Stegostoma tigrinum: one gene and its partners. The protein of the gene in region 3 purifies or fractionates together with the protein of the main gene of each other region. This does not show direct contact. Links are inferred from orthologs where the notes say so. Each region holds a gene or a part of one and is shown on either strand. Other genes may lie near its edges.

The links. The genes of interacting proteins can lie anywhere in the genome.
Region 1: the proteins of znf830 (region 3) and ppie purify together in Homo sapiens (affinity purification with mass spectrometry; 3 studies listed by BioGRID and IntAct, counting the BioPlex papers as one, with this or other methods). This does not show direct contact. The link is inferred for Stegostoma tigrinum from reciprocal best matches to the Homo sapiens genes ZNF830 and PPIE.
Region 2: the proteins of znf830 (region 3) and ppil2 purify together in Homo sapiens (co-immunoprecipitation; 4 studies listed by BioGRID and IntAct, counting the BioPlex papers as one, with this or other methods). This does not show direct contact. The link is inferred for Stegostoma tigrinum from reciprocal best matches to the Homo sapiens genes ZNF830 and PPIL2.

The regions. Positions count from the first base shown.
Region 1 is NC_081377.1:33,673,803-33,681,704, reverse strand, and holds the start of ppie (peptidyl-prolyl cis-trans isomerase E), read right to left. Parts: upstream 3,014-7,902; 5' UTR 3,001-3,013; coding exon 2,970-3,000; intron 107-2,969; coding exon 8-106; intron 1-7. UniProt on the Homo sapiens protein: Involved in pre-mRNA splicing as component of the spliceosome. Combines RNA-binding and PPIase activities.
Region 2 is NC_081379.1:43,741,776-43,749,770, reverse strand, and holds the start of ppil2 (RING-type E3 ubiquitin-protein ligase PPIL2), read right to left. Parts: upstream 3,014-7,995; 5' UTR 2,930-3,013; coding exon 2,898-2,929; intron 35-2,897; coding exon 1-34. UniProt on the Homo sapiens protein: Has a ubiquitin-protein ligase activity acting as an E3 ubiquitin protein ligase or as an ubiquitin-ubiquitin ligase promoting elongation of ubiquitin chains on substrates.
Region 3 is NC_081355.1:92,356,382-92,363,635, forward strand, and holds the start of znf830 (zinc finger protein 830), read right to left. Parts: upstream 3,004-7,254; 5' UTR 2,992-3,003; coding exon 2,870-2,991; intron 1-2,869.

The sequences.
Region 1 (7,902 bases), on a different chromosome or scaffold from region 3:
TATTTACCAGTTTCATAATCCAGTGGAATTTGAATGTCCATGATATCACCAAATGGAATGAAAGCTGCATGAAGCACTTTCTCATCTACTTCTTCAGCAAGACCACCTACAGGTGATAAACACAAAATATACATTAAATATAACAAGATTTTCTGTGAGAACACCACAACATTGACCACAAAATACCTTGTCACTGAGCCAAAAAATTTGGAACTCCCTCCCTAACGGATACTGTGGGTGTAGCTACACCTTATGGATAGCAGCAACTCAAGGTGTCAGCTCACCACAGCCTTCTGAAAGGCAATTAGGGATGGGTAACAAATGGCAGCTACACCAGATGTCATAACAGAATTAAAAACAATTCAAACAATGGAAAACCTACTTAATTCAATCACAAGTCTGACTGGCTGCATTCATTTGATGACAAGCATCTTGCAGTTTTGTAGGTGTTTTTCTTTAGCTAGAAATACCTTAACCACAGAACATAACAGGACCCACATCCTCTCTATCAAACTCATCTCACCCTCTCTATCAAACTCATCTCCCTTCCATCCTCACAGTCTTTGCATTTCACTTGGATTGATTTGCATTGAATGATTCTTTATTCTCCGCAACTTCAGTCACCTTAACCATCCTTCTCTGACTGCCTGTGACTTCTCTCAATCACACTGTCCACAAAAATTCCTTTTTATAGAAGTCAAGTTTATCCACCAGTATTTTACTATTAGTTTTAGAGTATAAAATACTTGACTTTAAGTAGGGCAAGACTAATAAAGTGAAACTATACACAGAGTATATAAAATATGTTATCCAGTATTAAGGCCTCCTTCCCTAATTGCAGCATATAGCACCCAAAAGATGGAGATACCTGGCTTTTTCCTGTGTTTCTTGGAAACACACAATTATGTATGTTCAAAAATTTTGCCCCAACACAAGGAACAGTATCAAATCTCCACTGGTGCTGAAATGAGTGATTGCCTGATACATCATCACATAAACAATAACACAAAAATGTCTTATGATGATATTTTTAAATGAATTTGAATGCTCAACATTCAGTCAACAAGAATTTAAAATGCTATATTTTTTAAAACAATGTGGTCAAAGGATAATTTCTCATGTTTTTAAAACTTTCAGTCACATTGTAAATTACAAAGAACTGAGATAACAAGGTGTAGAGCTGCATGAACACAACAGGCCAAGCAGCATCAGAGGAGCAGGAAAGCTGGTGTTTCAGGCCTTTTAAGCTTCAACATAGTATGTTGCCCATAGTATTCATCTCCTCCAAAAGAAATCTTGAAAAATAAACTGAACAACATACAATGCAAATGAAAAAAGGATTAAATTGATCCTTCCAAACAAAAACTGTGTTTAGAACAAAGCACATCTACTTGTCTATCAAAGAGCTCAGCAACTGATTAAGAAACCTTTTAAGAAATAAGCTACATATGGACTGCCCTTGATTTTTAAATATAAAGAACTTTGATTTATAAAATGATACTATAATAAATGTTAATTCTAATTTGCAGCAACTTTAAGAGATCAGATTTGAACAGACTTAGTGCAATCCACTGGCCATCTTTTTGGCCTCTATTGAATGGAGACTTCATTACTTCTTGTCCAGATGTAGTTGTAGAACGTCATACAACCAGAAGTTTTTGCCCGTCCCATTGCCAGAGTCATTTACGGCTGCTATCTAAGTTTCTGCTAGCTCTCCTTTGAGCAAAACAGTCAATCCCACTCCCCTGCAGCCTGGCGAGTTTATTTCCTTCAAGTTGATCCAATTTCCTTTCAAAACCATTTGCTAATTAATGGTAAAGCACCTATCTAACCTGCAATTGTGAATGATTATTAAGGAAAATCAGTCTCCAAATGTTCCTTCCATCATGGAGATACCTTAATTTCCCATTATGCTTCTTTTCACATGACACATCTGAGATTAAATATTCAACTTGAGGCACAAACCCGCATTCCACCATTCTACAGCAAAATATGTTTACACACTTCTAGGCTGAGCTATGGGACATCTAACTATTAAAGATCCAAATTTTTTTTTAAAAGCACAACACACTGTAGATTTATTTCCAAGTGTGTTTTTATAGATATGTATTACAATAAGAATGAAAAAGTCTACCCACAGATCAAACAAGGTCCAACTGTTGCCACAATGACTGAATCAGGAGTTCCTTCATGTGACTAGACAGTCTATTAAGTCAGTACATGACATTGCAGGTTCAACAGTAATCTGATCTTAAAATAAAGACCATCATCTAAAGGCAGCGCTTCCCAAAAGGGATCAGGCCAGAAGGGGGTTGCAAGTTCCAAGGCTATAATTGCTGCTGTGTAATCCCAAACGACTGTGCTCCAGATCTAACAAGCAACAATGCCCACAGGTATCTAACTTCTCCCAACAACTCTCAAAGGTCTCTTTGAAGAATGGTGACAGTTTACAAGCCTCGAAATTGAGTCACAGTGGAAGAGTTTTGAAATCACTGGCCCAAGGACTAGTCATCATAGCACCATGTCTCAGGTTACAAATAGTTATAAATGGATAACCATTATAACAACGACAGCAAATTATGTGTAATTACGGCAGAATGATGCTTCGTCTTTCATCAATATGTTAAAAGGACACAGTAATCAAAACAGCCCGTATTCTGTACAATTCTACATGATTGTTGAATGAATCATTCTCAGACTGAAAAATGATAAACTATAAAACGATAAACTGAAAAAAAAACATTTTTGGAGTATGGTAAGATTTTAAAAAAGCAAACGATAAGCAACCTACAGGCGATCTTGCTCGCAGAGATGAGTTTTTTTTTGTTAAATTGTGCAGGGTTTGGAATTTCCCCCGTTGCTGCACTAGAGACCCACCGCACTGAGTAAATTCGGACAAGTACCCCATGGAGAATGTTATTTGACTGTGGAAAGAATCTGAAGAGCGGCCGTGGCCCTTCCTCACTCACCCACATACAGCACCCGCTTGGTCGACGCCATCTTCCCTTGAACTTTCCCCTCTCAACTCCAACCTTTCACCCAGACACTTGCTCAATGTTTGGTTTATTTAATAAGTTCTTTTTCAAACAAAAAAATTCCGAACTTGAAAAGAAAATTGAAAAAAAAACCCAACAAAATATAAGCTAATTTCTAAATTAACTAGACAGGAAAATGAGAGCAATTTTGGAGTAATAGTTAAAGTGGGATAGAGTAGGTGCTGATAGGAGACGTATCTTTGCAGAGCCTGATGTTTAAACTGTCTCTAAGGGATCATATAGATAATCAAAACATGCCTGGGGCAGGTGCTTTTTTGGAAATAACATCTTTATATTCTGTAGTATTCCACAGTGCTCTCTGTACGATATATAGGAAAATTTGTGTTCAGACTTCACTCTATAAAGTCTCACAAAGAGCCTTAAAATGTTAGTTTATAAATGGGACTTGATCATTTTTCCACTAAATAAGCAGATAGGGGTTACATGTCATCAAGGAAGAGTAGACTGCACAACCCTGCTCTGCCATTCAATAACGTCAGAGCTGATTTGACTTGAACCTCAACCATATATTCCTACATATCCATCTGTCCACCTCTGTCTTAAAACATTTTAAAGATTCTACATCCACTGCTTTTTGAGAAAGGGAATTCCTGAGACTTATTCTGAGGAATTTATTTTCCTCATCTGTTTTGAATGGGCACCCCCTTATTTTAAAATTATGAGCCCTCGTTCTAGATTCTCCCACAAGGTTGTACTCTGGACACCAGAGTTAATCCATCCAAGATTTAAAAAAATTCTTCAGCACTTTATTCTGTGAAATCTTTAATGAACTTTCCTTCTTAATTGTAACAATTGTGCACTTTCAAACCTTACACTGAGATTAGTTACAACGGGTGACCACTGCAGTTTGCAGTTCCTCTTGATACCATTATGTGTGCCTTTTCAGGGTTGGTTAGCTCAGCTAGCTGGATGGCTAGCTTGCAATACAAACTGAGGCCAACAGTTTGTGTTCAATTCCTACAGTATCTAATGTGACAAGGTCCACTCTTCTCCGTCCTTCCCCTCAAATTAAACCACCACAGACATCTTTCTCTAATGAAAGAATGGGACTATGGTTACTTTACCTTATGTTGCCCAGCTGTAAGTATCTTTTTCCCTTGACATTATGAGCTGGTTTTACTGTAAAATATTAAATACCTTCTGTCAGTTCCTACTCAGTCACCTTCTTTCTTAACTGGTATTCCAAAAAACAGTTATTTAACTGTCACCGGGTCATAATTCTAGAATTCCCTTCTTAAGGACATTATGGGTCAACTAACAGCAGATGGACTGCAGCAATTCACCACCACCTTCTCCAGAGCAACGGGGCCAGGTAATAAATGTTGCCCGCTAATGATGCCCATGTCCCACATATGAAAAAAAACCTTCCACACTGAGAATCAGCTTCAGGCCTCTTTTCTGCAGTGTTCCATGACTGGAATGTTTCTCTTCTATATGAGCCAAACTTAATACAGGACTTAAGTGACAGTCTTGAATTTCTAATTTTATTTGGCAATAAAATACTGCACTATATTTTTCCTTCACTAAGTTGGCCATTACCTCATTTATTTTCAATTTCCTCAACCTTTAGCTATTTTCACACCTTCCAAAGGGATATCGTAAACGACACCAGTTGTATGCCTTTTGCCTACTTCCCTTAATTGCCACAATCAGTTTGTTACCATCTGCAAATGTAACCAAGTCAGCTATGATCTACTTGAAAAGCAAAACTGGCTGAAGGTGTTGAATGGCCTATTTTTCCCCATATTCCCAGTGTACGTTAGCTTCCACATCCAAGTTACTCAAAGAACTACCAACAGTGATTTGGAAGGCTGAACCAACTAGACAATGAGGGTCTCAGGTTCAATCACTAATCTTTGTTGGATTGATTTTATTAGTAACCACAACCAGCATCACAACCTCTCAGAGAAGGGAGAGGTACCCAGTGACATCATCTGTAAAAAAGCACATACGTGAAAACAGGCTTGGACAGGACTAGGCATTGACATAATGTTGAATAATTTATATACTGAACGCTCAATAGAGAACTTGGACGAAACATCCGGTGGCATCTACTGGCTTTGAGACAACATTCCAGCAAGAATATCTCCAAGGGGGAAAATACTAGTAAGAAAAATCAAGTTTATTCTTCTGGATCTCAAACCTGAAAGGTAGGCATTTGTTTAAATGGATTTGTGATGTCTTTATGATTTGATTGAAGTGTTCTCCTACCATTTCCCCAATGCTGGAAATTCTACTATTTACAGATCTGGCTGTATACAATTGTTCTCTAAATGAAGAAAAGAATCAGTTTCATAAACTTGAACCATTCCTTTTCAGATTTGTGCAGTAGGTCACAGTTTCAACCCATTAGGACTCAATGGTTCATATTTTCATAATTTCCCCTACAGTCAATTTTCATTTGTACATATGGCTTACAATCCTGTTAACTTTGCTATTTATGACACATAATTTAAAAAAAACCATTAGTTACAGTAACTAATTTGCATGGGACAAATGCCAGAGATCATGTGAAATGCACTTGTTATGCTCATGGATGATGAAACCAGGTTACATCTTTGTACTGGAATAGTGAGATGCAGTGTAACATCCAGAGAGAAGATAGATTTAACAATTGTTCCTCTTTTAAAATCAGTAAGCATTTAGTCAAACTTAAAACAATACATTTTCAAGACAAGCTTTTTTAAATAATTAATTTTAATAATTTTATCACCTTAGAATTTCTTGAGCAATTTGCTCTGACAACTTTGTCTTCTCTGTTTGTCACTAAAGGAAATTTGCTCCACAATGCAAAAAATTGCCAAAAGTTTGACTTTTTTTAAAACTAGTTGCAAACTAGAAAGTATAATTGTTGATTTGAATGTTATAGAAAATTGGTCTTTATGCTAGAACTAGCATATGTATATTTTCAGTGTTTTTTCCTTAACAATTATTCATACCGTAAAAGTTAAAATTCTAAAGTCAAAGGAATTGGGCTGATTTGGATGACTGGTGCCAAATCTGCCTTAAAATGATATTCTGGTTAATATCTGTGCAGTCAATAATTCAAGTTGCTGGCTTTCGCTGCTGTATTGGTGTTTGATCTGTGTCAAAGAGTTTCCAGATTTTCCCTATGACATCAGCCAGATGGGGCTTTGGAAACAAAAAAAATGTAGCAAATACATGTGTTATACCATGTTTGATCACAATCTTTTATTTCAAGAGAAGCAGAAATGATCATTTAAAAAAAACTGACATATTTTCATTACATTTGCTTGTCTTATACTTTCTCCTCCAAACTGAAATTAATCTTCTCTTCTGACTCCAGCAGTCTATGTTTTCTAAACAATCATCAGGAGATGCACATTGTTTGTAACATTTTTTCCCCATTCAGAAGATTCATTATATTTACATAGTATTTTGTTTAACCACTGTGACAAAGCAGACACTTGCCCATTATCAGTGGACAAGTCCCATCACTTAGTTCTGAACTTAAGCACCCCAATATCAGTTCACAGCCATGAAATATTTTTAACATTTTTTTAATAGAAAACTTCTTTTCAGCTTGGAGGAAACAGACCAAATTGCAAATGAGGGTGGAGAAATAGTTGACTTGTGTGACAGTGATAGATCTACTGATGACAATGACAGGGCCCTGGAGTTCTTATCTGGAATCCACTGCTGCTTCAATGGGAAATTACAAACATGTCAAGGTATTATTAGCATCTCATGACAGCCACAGTACTTTATCATTATATAAAATAATTCTTCTTCATCTCTGAAGTTCCATTCCCCCATTTAAATAGTCTACTATACAGCCAAAACCTAATAAATAAAACATACGCATCAATATCAAAATCCCTCCAGTGCAAATGACGACAACTGACACATTGTAGTGAAAGTTTTTTTATTGGTTTCTCCTTTCCCCAATCAGAAACACACTTTTCCAGATTTAGGCAAACTTGAGTTTTAAAAATTAAAACACACCTTAATGATAAAACTCAACTGCAAAGTAAAATCTAGCTCCATTCTCATACCTTTAACCTTTTATTTCTTGTTCTTTAAAGAGAAGGAAAAAAATAAATAAATCTATCCTGGCCACAGACGCCCATTTTCAAAACAAAACAAGTTTTAAATCAAAGTAGTGCCCTGCTTGATAATTTTATAGTTTGATTTATCAAAATATATTTCTTTTAAATTCTTAAGGTACATTTAAAACGTTTCAGGATCTGGTTATTTGAAATTTTGCAATGTTTTTGTTTTTTTTTCCTCAAAGCTAAGCACAATCCACGCATCCAGTCTGAATATATCTGAATCAAAACTTGTGGAATCCTTGGTTCTTGGCAATCTGCAAAAAAAAGTAAAATTTTAATATCTGCCTCCTCTCCAACTGGAACGTTCCAACAAATGAATCTGATACCGCCCTAACCACATGTATCACTGTTGCTATACAAAATACCCATGTCAGTTAGAAATAATTGTAAAAGAATCAGCTGCAAGTTGAAGGACTTTTACTTCAGTGTTTGGAGCGAAGAAGTCAAATAGTTGAAATGTTTGAAGCCACAACAGGTTGCAGTATAAGTTAATACATTTTTATTTGATACCGACTAATTATCACAAACTGCAATAGGTAACCAGCATTTTTGATGTACCAGAACCACCGAATTGCTGTGTGTCATACAACACACATATTACTGAAACTTGTAACTGCAGGTCAAACCATGTTAATCATTTTAAATTGATAATACTGACTGAATCCAAAGTAAAATACCAATTAGTAAACCAGTTGTTTGCAACTTTATTTTGCTGCCAGGACAGACACAGTGGGCTACATGGCTTCCTTCTATAAAATTCTATACATATCATG
Region 2 (7,995 bases), on a different chromosome or scaffold from region 3:
ATAGAAATTTGTATATTCTGTACAGGTAATGTACCTGGAAAAGAAAATAAAGTTCAGTGCAACATTATAAACAGAATTATAGAATGAAGTGGCAGGGGTAACGTCACTAGATTACTGATTGAGACACTTAATCCAATGCTCTGGGTACTTGGGCTTGTAGTCCGTCACAGCACCTGGGAGGAGGGGAGGAGAGGGAAAGAGTTAAAATCAACTAATAGAATCCAGAATTGTTGCCATGCGTGATTTGGTGGTGGAGAAAGCTGATTGCTGTGTGTGTAATTGCACTTATGGATAAGCAAAACAGGGAAAAATCCAAGTGGTCACGTGGTGCAGTAGTAGTGTCCCTATCTGTGAGAGGGAAGTGCTTGGCTTCAAGTTCCACTTGCTCCAAAGGTACATCATAGCACTGTTGAACATCATTAAAACTATCTACAATCTGGAATTGAAAGCTAGTCTCAGTAATGTTGACCATTAAACTATCACTACCTGTCATAAAGATCACCTTGTTCACTTGATTCTTTTGGGCAACCTAACCTGGTCTGCTACATGTGACTCCAGGCACTCAGCAGCACGCTCATTCCTAACTGCCATATCAGTAGCCTGGCAAGAAACTCAGTTCAAGGGCAAAAAAATATTGACCTCGCCCGTGAGACACTTACCCATTGAAGGAAGAGAGGAGCAGATTGGAACTTAGGAACGGGCAAGTCATCTAAAGGAATGCACGTACAAATTGACAGCTTTAAACAACAAAGTTAAAAATACATCCCTGATAATTGAGGAAATATAGTTAATTTAAATGCATCCTAGTTAAAACCATACTTTCCAGAAAGGAGAGTAACCGAACTGAATTGAGTCAAGGGGACAGCTGGAACAAGACTTACTCCCAGACAGCACACACACTCTGTCCCTCCCCAACAACATAACTGACAACCCCACAACCCAGTCACCTCTTCAGGACAGTATCCACAATGTTTAACAGCCAGAGTTCCAGTTCCAAAGCAGAGCTCAGGCAAGTTGAATCCCACCGTGATTAATTTTGGAACTGAAAAAAAGTACTGCAGACTTTACTGATTTTGTACTGCAAAACATTCCTTGATGATAGCTTGTCAGGCACACTTCTCACTCTGCATCACCTGTTCATGTCAGAAAATTCTATTCTGATTTCATTTTGTTGGTAAATACAGAATATCACAGTTTCTATGAAATGTCAATGTAAATTATACCTTACAAACAAAGAAGCTGATTTCTTTCGTTGGTGACTAATGAAACACTAGCTGCTGGCATAGAAAAGGATCCTCTGAAAATCTGCAGTCAACGGCAATCAGGGAAAAATTCTCCATTGCTCACAGTCGTACCTCAATCAAGGCAACATTGTTGTGGTTGTTGGAAATCAATCATTTCAGTCCCGAAAAATCACTGCAGGGAGTGCATATTTAATTTCCTGAATGCAATCATGTTCAGATGCTTCAATGACCTTCCTTCTACCATAATATCAAAAGGGGGAACGTTCACTGATGATTGCACAAAACTGAGCACCATTCACAAACCTTCAGATATTGAAGCAGTCAATCCATATGAAGCAAATCTGGACTAAATCCAGTACTGTCATGATAAGCTACAAAAAAATCACATCTCTCAATGACCAGGCAATTGTCTCTCTCCCCAGAGCCTGTGCGTTATTTACAAGATAGAGATCAAGAATGTGATGGAATATGCTCCACTTACTGGATGAGTGCGGCTCCAGCAGCACTCATGAAGCTTAATGCCAGACAAAACAAAGCATCCCATTGACCAATACCTTCTCTAATACCATCAACATTCACTCCCTTCAACACTGATGTACAATAGCAGCAGTATGCCATCTACAAGATGCACTAATAACAACTCACCAAGGTTCTTTAGACAGCACCTTCTAAATCCCCGACCCTTACCACCTAGGAGAACAAATACGTGGGAACATCAACACTTACAAGTCTCCTTTCAATCCATACACCATTCTGAACTGGAATTATATCTCCAGTCCTTCACTTTTGTTTGGTCAAAATTCTGGAACTCCCTTTCTAACAGCACAGTAGGCACACCTAACCTCAATGGACTCCAGCAGTTCAAGAAGGTGCCCTTTCAAAAGACCAATCAGGGAATGGACATAATTGCTGGCCCAGTCAGTGATGCCAACATCACATGAACAAATAAAAATAAACTTGTCAAAATGCAAGCTGTGGATCCTTTTGCATGGAACTGACAGCAATATCTGAGTTAATTTTAGGTATGCAACTGTCATTTCCAGATACTTGAGATTAATGGTGTTTCCAATCCCTCAAGTGGTGTCATTGCCTTACATTCTGTTACTCCACATATAAACCCTGTGAATATCTGCAGGATCACTGAAATAATGTACACAGAGGTGAGGGGCTGCAATGTAGAAAGAATTGCTCCCTTCCGAAGAAGACAGGGGAAAGAAAAACACAAATAGGAACTGCTGCACAAGTCTGCAGCATACAATGCCACCTAATTTAATGCTTCAAGCACTGATTAGCAAGACTAAAGAGGCAGTACAAAAAGACCAAATGATGAATCAAAACCGTAGCAACTGAGGAGTATTTTAAAGAAGAATACAGAGGTAATTCCAGAGCTCAGGGTTTAGCAGACCGAAGAAGAGTCATTAATGGAGAAGCAATTTAATATCAGGGATGCACAAGAGCACAGAATATTGGCGATGTGGGGAGATAACAGAGATGGGGAGGGGAAGGATCTGAAAAGGGTGAGAATTTTAAAATTAAAGAGGGTCATGTACTCAGGCCGAGTCGCAGTGAACTAAATGGGCTGCTTGAGCGTCACAGGGAGGGCAAAGGGCGATGGGGCCGCTCTCCCAACAGCAAGAAGAGCTCGAGGCTCACATTTTATCTTTCTGGTGCTGCCTCTTCCCCATGGTGTCGGATCAGCCGCCGCTACCTCAAACCTCCGCTCCCAACACAACCTCCCTCAGGCCGCCGGAACTGCGCTCACTTCCGGACAGACCGGTTCGCCTGTAACAAAGGGCCGGGCAAACCCGGAGCGCTGGAGGGAATGTTCCGCCCCGACTGACGTCTGGAAAGTTAACAAGGACCCAGTGCGAAATGCAGAAAGGAGGTCAAGCAGCATCATCTGCTTGGCCTGCTGTGTTCATCCAGCTCCACACTTTGTTATCTTGGATTCTCCAGCATCTGCAGTTCCCATTATCACTGCAGAAAGGAGGTGTCCTGCTGTTTGGGTCCACTGCATCATCTGCTCAGTCATTTTGAATGGCTCGATTTTATGGTCAATATACGGTTTTCCAAAAGTTTGCAGGATAACTATGGATTTATTTGCTCCATTGTGACGGCAACATAGATAGTCTAAATTAACCTGATGGGGTATGTTGTGGTATACCTTTGGCAGTAGGGTGAGACTTGAACCCAGCTTCTCCAGTTTGGAGATGAGGACACTGCCACTGAGCCGTACGAGCCAGCACATCACTGCATGGATTGCAGTGATTCAAGAAAGCAGCTCAACACCATTTGTTCAAGAGACTATGAGGCTTGGACAATAATGCTGGCTCAGCCAGTTGCGCCCACACCATCTGAATTAATGAAATACGTCTATGTATACAGAGGTTAACAATGAAAGGTAGAGACTTAGTGGCATGATGTAAAGACAACAATTTCTCCATCAAGTATAGTAGGAACCACAGATGCTGGAGAATCTGAGATAAAAAGGTGTAGAGCTGGATGAACACAGCGGGCCAAGCCGCATCAGAGGAGCAGGAAAGCTGACATTTGGGGCCTAGACCCTTCTCAGAAATTTTCGTCAGCTTGCCTGCTGTGTTCATCCAGTTCTACAACTTGTTATCTCAATCTCTCCATCAATATCAGTAACAAGCAGGAGCTGGTTATCAACTTCCAACAAGCAGAGTGAAGGACATGCAGCTGTCTGTATCAATGGTGCTGAGCTGGAGACAGTTAAGAGCTTCAACTTCCTATGAGTAAAGATCATCAACAATCTGTCCTGGTCCATCCGCGTCAATGGTCTGATTGAAAAAAAGCATACCAACACTTCTTACATCTTCAGAAGGCTAAGGACATTCAGCATGCAGCACAGAAAGTATCCTATCCAGATGCATCCCACTCCCTCGAGAAAGGAGCCAACATAATCAAAGACCCCTCCCACTCCACTCATGCTCTCTTCCATTCTCTTCCATTAGGCAGAAGTTGCAGAAGTATGAAAACACGTACCAATTAATTCAAGAACATCTTCTTCCCTGCTGTTATCAGACTTTTGATTGGACCTCTCAAATATTAAAGTTAATCCTTCACTGCACCTTCTCTGTAGCTGTAACACTATATTCTGCATTCTGTTTCACACCCTGTTATACTTATGTAAGTTATGATTTGCTTGGATAGCACACAAAACAGTATTTCAGTACATGTGAAAATAATAAATCAAATTTAATAGAATAAACCAATAAATTGACAGTGGAAAACATTTAACCATGAAATTCAAAATAATTGTTCTGCGATTCCAAAATATTTAACAAAAATATATTCTACTGGAAAACAAAGTCTCAGCAAAGTAAGACCTATCACTGGTTTATTCAGAATGTTCAGTATAGTATTAAATTTCAAAAGGCATTCATAATGTTGCAGAGAATAATAATAATTAAGACAGGTCTCAGTACAAAGTGCAGAATATAATAAGTGTAGAATGTTTACAATATAAGATTAATCTGATTTCACATAAGTCGGGGTGGTTCATATTTACAACAACAAATTACACTTTTAACACATTCCAAGCTGCTTAAAAAGTGCACAAACACTAAATTGAACATTGAATCACAGAAGGAAAAGAAATTGAGCCACAGAATAAATGGGTGAAATCTTTGTCAAAGAACTAGGTTTTAAGAACTATCTTAACGGAGAGAAAGAAAGGTAGACATGAACGTTTAAGGAAGAAATTCCAGAGTTTATGAAAGCACAGCTGCGGTAGTGTAGTACCATAATTCAAATTGAGGATGCGAAAGATGCCAAAATTGGAGGGGTGCAGAGTTCTCAGAAGGTTGGTGAGGTGGAACCACCTCTCCAGCGCAGGGAAGGGTAGTGCTGTGGAAAGATTTTAAAACAAGAATGAGGATTTTTAAATTAAGCTATTGTCAGATCGGGAACCATTGCAGGTCAGCAAGTACTGGGGGTAAAGGGGAGTGAGACTTACTACATGTTAAAATATGGGCAGCTGAGTTTGGATGAACATAGTTTACATGTGGTTGAAAAATCGGAACCAGTCCAAGGGGCCTCTAGGACAGATTAGTAGTAGGAAAGACACAGATGAAGGCAATGTCAGCATGAGGCAAAGTTACCAAGTCAAAAATAGATATTCATGGAGGGAGAGGTGAATCTGGAAGCTAATACTAAGGAGCAAAACACAACATAGAAAACTGCAAGCTATCAGCTTAGCTTCAAATGGTTGTCAGGGAGAAGCATATAAATGATGAGCGAGAGAAACAACTTTGTGGCAGTGACCATAACTTCAGTGTACTAATACTTAGGCCAGGACAGACCCTGCACACCAATACTGGATATTGGATGTACATATTGTCAAAGACAGTGGAGGAGTCAAGCATGGTAGTCATGGGATAGAGCTAAGTGTCATCAACAAATCAGTGGAAATGGTCAATTTTCAGATGTTGTTACTGAGGAGCACTGTAGCATGGGAACAAAGGGGCCCAAGGATAGATCCTTGATAGACTGTAGAGGTAGTTGTGTGAGAGTGGAAAGAGAAGCCATTATAAGGGAAACATCATTTGATAGGGCACATCAAAACTATCCTGTGGAATAATGGCAACTCTAGATCACATCATTTCTTGATTTTTATATTGCAAACAAATGAATTGATGTAAGACCATCAGTTTCTCTCCTTAAATATGCACGGTCTATCTCATTTTACCCTGCTAGGCTAAGATATCGCAAATGTTTGAGCAACATGTGAAGTTAGCTGTGTTTTATTGCTACAATGCAGTACCAACATGAGTGATGTTCATCACTAACAGGATACTGCTGCTAAGCTAAAAAGATGCTCTATCTATCTCACAAATGAGTAATGTGATGTATTAATTTCAACACTTATGTGATGCTGGGTACACCGCACATCCCAAAGACAGGCAAATCATATCGAATATAAGCCGACAAGCATCTCCCTTACAAAACATGCAACAGTGACCAACATTAGATGTGATTCTGCAATTGGACAATAATCCTGAGTGTGCAAAGAATTGTACTGTCAACAAATTTAAGATTTTGTAGTGCACTTGCATTTATTGGAAGCTACATGCCTTAATATACAGATCCCAGTTTGTTATAGACAGAGAGAAAATGTACACACATAGTGCCTGTTTCAAATCAACAACATGGATGAGAGGCATACACCAGTTTGTTTCTAAGGTAATGTTCTGACCAATCAGAGGCAACCTCTCTGGTTTAAAACTTGAATAAATCTTGGAAGTTTTCTGTCATTCATCATTAACTAGTGCATTCTTCATGACAATGCCCCTAAAAATAACAGTCCACTTGCCAACCAAATAGCACTGTCCGGTAATATTATATAAATGTTGTTTTACTTTTACTTTGGTATTTCTTACAAACAGTCTTGATGAATGTAAAACCAAAAGTTTCAGTAAAAGATAACAAAGTGTGAAGCTGGATGAACACAGCAGGCCAAGCAGCATTTAGGAGCACAAAAGCTGACGTTTCGGGCCTAGACCCTTCATCAGAGAGGGGGAGGGGGAGAGGGAACTGGAACAAATAGGAGAGAGGTGGAGGCGGACCGAAGATGGATAGAGGAGAAGATAGGTGGAGAGGAGTGTATAGGTGGGGAGGGGATAGATCAGTCTGGGGAGGATGGACAGGTCAAGGAGGTGGGATGAGGTTAGTAGGTGGGAAATGGAGATGCGGCTTGAGGTGGGAGGAGGGGATAGGCAAGAGGAAGAACAGGTTAGGGAGGCGGGGACGAGCTGGGCTGGTTTTGGGATGCAGTGGGGGAAGGGGAGATTTTGAAGCTTGGGAAGTCCACATTGATACCATTGGGTTGCAGAGTTCCCAAGCGGAACATGAGTTGCTGTTCCTGCAACCTTCGGGTGGCATCATTGTGGCACTGCAGGAGGCCCAGGATGGACATGTCGTCTGAGGAATGGGAGGGGGAGTTAAAATGGTTCGCGACTGGGAGGTGTAGTTGTTTATTGTGAACTGAGTGGAGGTGTTCTGCAAAGCGATCTCCAAGCCTCCACTTGGTTTCCCCAATGGAGAGGAAGCCACAACCTGTACAGTGGATACAGTATACCACATTGGCAGATGTGCAGGTGAACATCTGCTTGATATGGAAAGTCATCTTGGGGCGTGGGATGGGGATGAGGGAGGAGGTGTGGGGGCAAGTGTAGCACTTCCTGCGGTTGCAGGGGAAGGTGCCGGGCGTGGTGGGGTTGGAGGGCAGTGTGGAGTGGACAAGGGAGTCACGAAGAGAGTGGTCTCTCCGGAAGGCAGACAAGGGTGGGGATAGAAAAATGTCTTGGGTGGTGTGGTCGGATTGTAGATGGCGGAAGTGTCGGAGGATGATGCGTTGTATCCGGAGGTTGGTGGGGTGGTATGTGAGGACGAGGGGGATTCTCTTAGGGCGGTTATTGCAGGGGGATGGTGTGAGGGATTTGTTGCGGGAACTGCAGGAAACACAGTCGAGGGCGTTCTCGACCACTCCGGCGGGGGAAGTTGTGGTCCTTGAAGAACGCGGACATCTGGGATGTAAACGTTTCAGTAAAATATGTTTTTTTCAGCTATATTCATGTAACATTTGTTTCAATAGCATGTGTGCAGTTACTATTTCAATGTATGTATGCAAATAACTATTCATATTCTATAAATGATAAGCATTAACTGAAACTGCTGGAAAATCCTCAACAGGTCAAAACTGTTCTGAAGAAGCATCGCTGGATCTGAA
Region 3 (7,254 bases):
TGTTGAGATACAACAAGACAATAATCAGATAGGAGGCTTGGAGATAAACAGCAGATCAATGTGCAAAGTGGCAGAAGCAAGGGGGAGAAAACTACAGATGACAAGGCAACGGTCAGTAGGAAGTAATTTTAAGAGGTTCCTACAACTCTGTGGATTTGTAAAAACCAGCTTAGCAGACACAGAAATAGTTGCAAAGCTAGGGAGCAGGTTGTCAGTCCAAAAACAAACCTGAGCCTCAATAATCATTTTGAAGTCCAATTTACTTTATAACATCAAAGTTAAAACCTAATCCATAAAGAAAGAAAATGTAAAGCCCACTGATGCAGACTTCACAAGACCAACGATCAGAAGGAGAAGGAAGAGTAGATCATTCAGTACTTTGAGTCTATTCTGTCATTCGGTGAAATCAAGCCTGATCTGATAATCCTTAACACCACTTTTTTGCCTTTTCTCCATTAATCCTTGAATCCTTTACTGATAAAAAGTCTGTCAATCTCAGCTTTGTATGTACTTAACCCAGTCTCTTTAGCCATGTGACACAAAAACAAAATCACAGATTCACTGTACTCAGGGAAGAAATTTCTTCAGTTTTAAATGGACAACTTCCAGCCTCTGAAATTATGCCCTCTGGTCTTAGACTCTCATACAAGGGGAAAACAACTTTCCTGCATCTACTCTGTCAAGCCCCCTAAGAACCTAAAATGTTTCAATTAGGTTTTCTCTTATTCCTCCAAACTCCAACTCAATTTCACCTATAAGAAAATCTCTCCCTACCCACAATCAAGCTAGTGAAACTTCTGTGGATTGACACCAATGCCAACTTTCCTTAAACGAAGGGGCCAACTATTTACAGTATTCTAGATGTGGTACAACTAGTGCATCGTGCAGCTTTTAGAAGACCTTCCTATTTTTGTATGATTCCCTTGAAATAAAGGCCAACAGTCCATATGCCTTTCTTTTTAGCCGCTGAACACTGATGCTGACTTTTTTGTGATTTATGCATGAGGACCCCCCAAATCACTTTGCTGCAGATTCCTGCAGTCTTTCCTCATTTAACTGATATTTACCTCATCTATTCTCCCTGCCACAGTGCATAACCTCATATATTGCTACATTATACTTCATCTGTCAAGTCTTTACCCAATCAAGTCACCTATTTTTATCCTTCTGCAGACACTTTGTTTCATCCTCACGAGGCTTAGCCACTTATTTCTGTGTTCTCCAAAAGTGACCAAAATACAATCATTTTCCTCATCCAAGTGATTAATCTATATTATAAATAATTATGGCTTCAGCACTTATCCCTGTAGTACTTCATTAATTACAACCATCCTGAATATGCCTCCTCACCCCAACTTCCTGTCTTCCAGTTGTTAGCCAATCTTCTTTCATGCAACTATGCCACCCCTAACATCATGGCTCTTGTCTTATTAAGACTTAATGTGCAGAAGCTTTTGAAAACCCAAATACATTACATCTATCGATTTACCTTATCTATTCTCCTCAAAGAACTTTAATAAACATTTCAAGCATGATTTCCCCTTCATGGAATCATGCTGACTGATTATATTAAACATTTATAAACACACTGTGATTACATCTTTATAATAGACTATAACATTTTTCCAATGACAGAAATCAAGCTCACGGGCCTAGTTACTTTCCTCTGTCTCTTGTCAGTTTTTGAATAAGAGTGTTACGTTAATAATTTTCTAATAATCTGGGGCATTTATGGAATCTAAGGACTGGAAGATTATTACCATTCATCCACTATCTGTAGCTACTTCTTTTAAAATCCTCGGATGCAATGAATCAGGACCACTGATATATCAGACGTTAGCCCCATTCTACCCCGAGATCTTTTTCGTATTTCTTATTCTGGAATGCAATTAGTTTCTTCTTGATGCAAAGTATTCATTTTATTCCTTTGTCATTTGTTCCTCAATTATCTTTCTGAAAACTCCTTTCCTAGTCCACACCAGCTAACTTTGCCGTTTTTAATTGACCTTATTTAAGTTTAGCATGTCCGTAACTAATAAAGAAACAACACAACCTTTTACTCTTGCTAGCCTTTCAAAATGTCACATACCCTGTATATTCAATTCCCAGATTTGATCTTCTAAGCTAGTACTAGTGCCACATTAACTGAAAGCCATTACACCCAAAACAATCTTTAAGTCATGCATTTAACTCAACTTAGCTATCCCATAACAATAATATTGCCACTTATTCAGGAAACTGCACATGAAACTACTTAATGATTGGGAAAGATTTTCCAATAACAAATGTTTGATTATTCTGGAAAATCTCAATAAAGATCTTCAAAAGACATGACCCAGAACTGTGACTCAAATGAATCTTGGAAATCAAGCCCACAAGTTTCAATATAAAATAAACCACAGAGATAGATAAAAAACAATTACACTGTAGTTGTTAGAAGAGCACAAATGGAATCTGAAAGGAATGCAACTATCAAACAGCTGAGGAGCGATTGTTGATGCCTGGGAATGTTTGAGCTAAACTAACCAAGGATCCTTTTATTTTCGCTCATAATTTTCAAGGAAAACGCTTCTGTTCCCACGAATTTGCCAGGTTCATGCTTAGACTCCTTGCCTCCCCCTTCAATTTAGCCTGGCAAACCCTCTTATGCCAAGCACTTCACGGGTAAGATGAGGTGTACTGTAAATGCAAACTGTTGACTGGCGTATGTGGTTAGTGTCACTTCAGATGTGTGAATTTGAAAAATCTCGATCACGAAATGGACCAAGACGCCCTCAGGCCTGACAAATCCTCCTGATTTTGAGTTAAACGGTTTCCTGGTCTGGCAGAAGAGATCTAACTCCCATTTCCTCCGGACCCTCCAAAAGGATATTTAGCGAGTGGTGAGTCGATCCTCTTGCCGGCCGCGCTCGCCCGCTGCTTTTCCCTCATTAACCGCCGCAGCTCCTGCTGGTCAACAACTTTCTTCTTCCCCTTACCAGGTGCCGCCATCTTGACAGAGAAGACCGTTTCCGGTGTGAACCCGGAACTGCTTCCCAGGCAGTGGATGCGTTGTTGAGATGCCGAATGCTGAGTAAGGTAACAGTTATTATAATTACTGTACGGGTGGGATGAGGATTAGACATTAATTTAATTCATAACAATGGTGCTCGGGTTCCTGAAATGAAATGTCTCCTGGCGACATACATTCCCGGTTTCCTGAGGGGTCAGTTTCCCGACGTATTTCTGAAGAAGGGTTTAGATCCGAAACGTCAGCTTTCCTGCTCCTCTGATGCTGCTTGGCCTGCTGTGTTCATCCAGCTCTACACCTTGTTATCTCAGATTCTCCAACATCTGCAGTTCCTGCTATCGCTTAGCCGTTTTGTCACACTGTCATTCCCACAAAGTGTATGGATGCAGATCCCTGCTTCAGCCTGCCAGACATCGTCCGCACAGGAAGGGTACCTCTGGGTAGCAGCAGTTAGAATGTGATTGCAATTTACATCGTGTTTGAGGAGGAGAAAGGTATGTCTAAGAAACATAGAATTTAGGAACCTTCTGTTCAAGTCCCACCTGCTGTAATAATATATCTGAACAGAGTGATTAAAATATAGATAACACATTGTAAAGATAGTAGGAACTGCAGATGCTGGAGAATCTGAGATAACAAGGTGTGGAGCTGGATGAACACAGCAGGCCAAGCAGCATCTTAGGAGCAGAAAAGCTGATGTTTCGGGCCTAAACCCTTCTTCAGAAATGGGGCAGAGAAAGGGGTTTCTGAAATTGAGAGGGGGAGGTGGATAGAATTTGGATAAAGGAGGAGAGGTGGAGAGGAGACAAAGCGGTCAAAGAGGCGGGGATGGAGCCGGTAAAGGTGAGTGTAGGTGGGGAGGTAGGGAGGAGATAGATTAGTCCAGGGAAGACGGACAGGCTGAGGGGACAGGATGACGTTAGTGGGTAGGAGATTGGGGTGAGGCTTGAGGTGGGAGGAAGGATAGGTTAAGGAAGCTTGGACGAGCTGGGCTGGTTTTGGGATGCGGTAGGAGGAGGAGATTTTGAAAATTGTGAAGTCCACATGGATACCATTGGGCTGCAGGATTTCCAAGCGGAATATGAGGTGCTGTTCCTGCAACCTTCAGGTAGCATTGTTGTGGCACTGCAGGAGGCCCAGGATGGACACGTCATCTGCGGAATGGGAGGGGGAGTTGAAATGATTCGTGACTAGGAGGTTAAGTTGTTTCATGTGAACTGAGCGTAGGTGTTCTGCAAAGTGGTCTCCAAACTTCTGCTTGGTCTCCCTGACGTAGGGGAGGCCACAACGGGTACAGCGGATGCAGTACCACATTAACAGATGTGCAGGTGAACATCTGCTTGATGTGGAAAGTCTTCTTGGGGCCTGGGATGGGGGTGAGGCGGGAGGAGTAGCACTTCCTGTGGTTGCAGGGAAAAGTGCCAGGTGAGGTGGGGCTGGAGGGGAGTGTGGGGAGCAGACAAGGGAGTCACGGAGAGAGTGGTCCCTCTGGAAAGCAGATAAGGGTGGGGAGGGAAAAATGTCTGCGGTGGTAGGGTCGGAATTCAGATGGTGGAAGTGCTGGAGGATGATGCGTTGGATCTGGAGGTTGGTGGGGTGGCACGTGAGGATGAGGGGGATTCTGTTTTTGTTCCTGATTTACAACATCCACAATTCTTTTGGTTATTATTTTGTTTATCTCAACTGTTTGTTTCGTGTCTGCCAACTAGTTCTCACTTTTTTTTTCTCACCACATATCAGTTGAAGTTTTTACCATTGGTCTGTATGTTCCTGTCAATCCTTCTCTCACACTCCATTTTCCTCTCTTAATTAACCCACAATGATGCCACCCGAAGGTTGCAGGAACAGCAACTCATATTCCGCCTGGGAACCCTGCAGCCATATGGTATCAATGTGGACTTCACCAGTTTCAAAATCTCCCCTTCCCCCACTGCATCCCTAAACCAGCCCAGTTCATCCCCTCCCCCCACTGCACCACACAACCAGCCCAGTTCATCCCCTCCCCCCACTGCACCACACAACCAGCCCAGCTCATCCCCTCCCCCCACTGCACCACACAACCAGCCCAGCTCATCCCCTCCCCCCACTGCACCACACAACCAGCCCAGCTCTTCCCCCCCACCCACTGCATCCCAAAACCAGTCCAACCTGTCTCTGCCTCCCTAACCGGTTCTTCCTCTCACCCATCCCTTCCTCCCACCCCAAGCCACACCCCCAGCTACCTACTAACCTCATCCCACCTCCTTGACCTGTCCGTCTTCCCTGGACTGACCTATCCCCTCCCTACCTCCCCACCTACACTCTCTCCACCTATCTTCTTTACTCTCCATCTTCGGTCGCCTCCCCCTCTCTCCCTATTTATTCCAGTTCCCTCCCCCCATCCCCCTCTCTGATGAAGGGTCTAGGCCCGAAACGTCAGCTTTTGTGCTCCTGAGATGCTGCTTGGCCTGCTGTGTTCATCCAGCCTCACATTTTATTATCTTCCTCTCTTAATTGCCTGTTTCTTTCCTTTTGATGGAATCTAAATTGTTGCCAGTTCTTTGGTCTGTTGCTTTTTATGGCCAACTTGTATGCCTCTTCTTTGGATTTAACACTATTCTTAGTTTCCCTTGCAAGCTGTGGTCTGACCACATTTCCCGTTTTAATTTTATGCCTGACTGGGATGAATAACTTCTGAAGTTTATCCACGTGCTGTCCAAGACTAGTATTCTAAGTTAAATTAAGCAACAATGTGGACATGAAAACTGAACTAGCTGTAGATAAGTTAGGAAATCTAACAGAAAGATGCTGTTCATATATCAAAAGTCTGGACTGGTAACTCCAGATTTATTGAATTTGTGTTAACTTGTCATGTGACCACACCAATCAATCAGATTGGAGTCAGGCTGCACTGCAGCACAAGATTCCAGGCAAGCTTGACACTTGACATCAACATCTTTCTGTGAAGCCATGTAAGTATCACTGAAATGGCAGATAATTGTGAAGAGACTAATGAATGCCTGCGTTTCCCTAACTAAAGCTCTGCAGCCGTGGAAATGGCCTGGGTTTTGTGCTGGAACACAAACACTGAAAAATGTTTGACTGCATTGACAGCATGGCATTCTGTATCACATTTCCCCAAAGACATCATGTTAAGCAGAAAAAGTTTATTGAGATTTTCCAGAGATAACCCCAACATTTTTAATACTTTTTACAGTACATGCTCCGGCCGTTGTAAAGTGTGAATAAATTGAAAATAAAAGGAAATGCATTTTTCACATAGTTACTGTGTCTTTATTTGCTTGTTTTTGCATGAAATATGTCTAGGCAAAATTGAGTTGTGCTTGAGCTTCTTTGGCTATCTCAAAACTCAGCTTGACGCACATTTGTGAGTGGTCTCCTGCAATTCAGCATCACAATTTTATTGTACTATATTCATCAATGTACAGTTTGGTAATATAGAGTAAGTAGCACTTCAAATCGACCTAAAAGTAGGTATGATTATACAAACAAATATGTTACACAAAAATCAGATTTGTAAAATCAGTACTGAGATGCAATGGGAAGTTCAAAAATGCAAAACAATTTCTTGGGCCATGCCTATGGGTGCATCTTAATCTGCAAAGTGACAACTTCAAGGTTTGATCTGGTGAAGTTAGCTATCTTGATACATTTTTAATCTCCCTTAATACGGTTAGAGGTCAAAAGTAGAAATTCAGTATTGCACAATGTCTCATCAGGCCATTGCCAACGCTGATATACACAAACTTTTTCAATGAAACTTGGAGGGGGTACTGCTGGTTGAGCAGATTTGCTTCACGGTAAACTTATCTGCTGATGTGTAATTCCTGCTAATGGATCATGACTGAGTTCAGCATTTATGTAGATTATGCAACAGTTAATCTCAGCACAGCAATATATGCACAGTCACAGCATGCATATTTCTAAAATAATTCCAGAAAAATGCTTTATTCTAAAAAAATCCTTTAGTACAGAATACTAAAGATCATACACGAGGAAGCTATTGATCTGAGTGTGGTGGAAACAGAACAACAATTTTGGTATAAATTTTCCACAGCAGGTAAAGGTCCCTGTCCACATAACTGATACCATTTTCCTTATTGCATACATATATTTTGCAATGACAGTAGCACATTTTGTAATTCACAATGGAATATGAGTGTCTCTGATTAGGCAAGCATGTTTTGCCCTTCAGCAGTTGTCCAAATTGCAATTAAGAATCAATGCTGTGGTTCAAGAGTCAC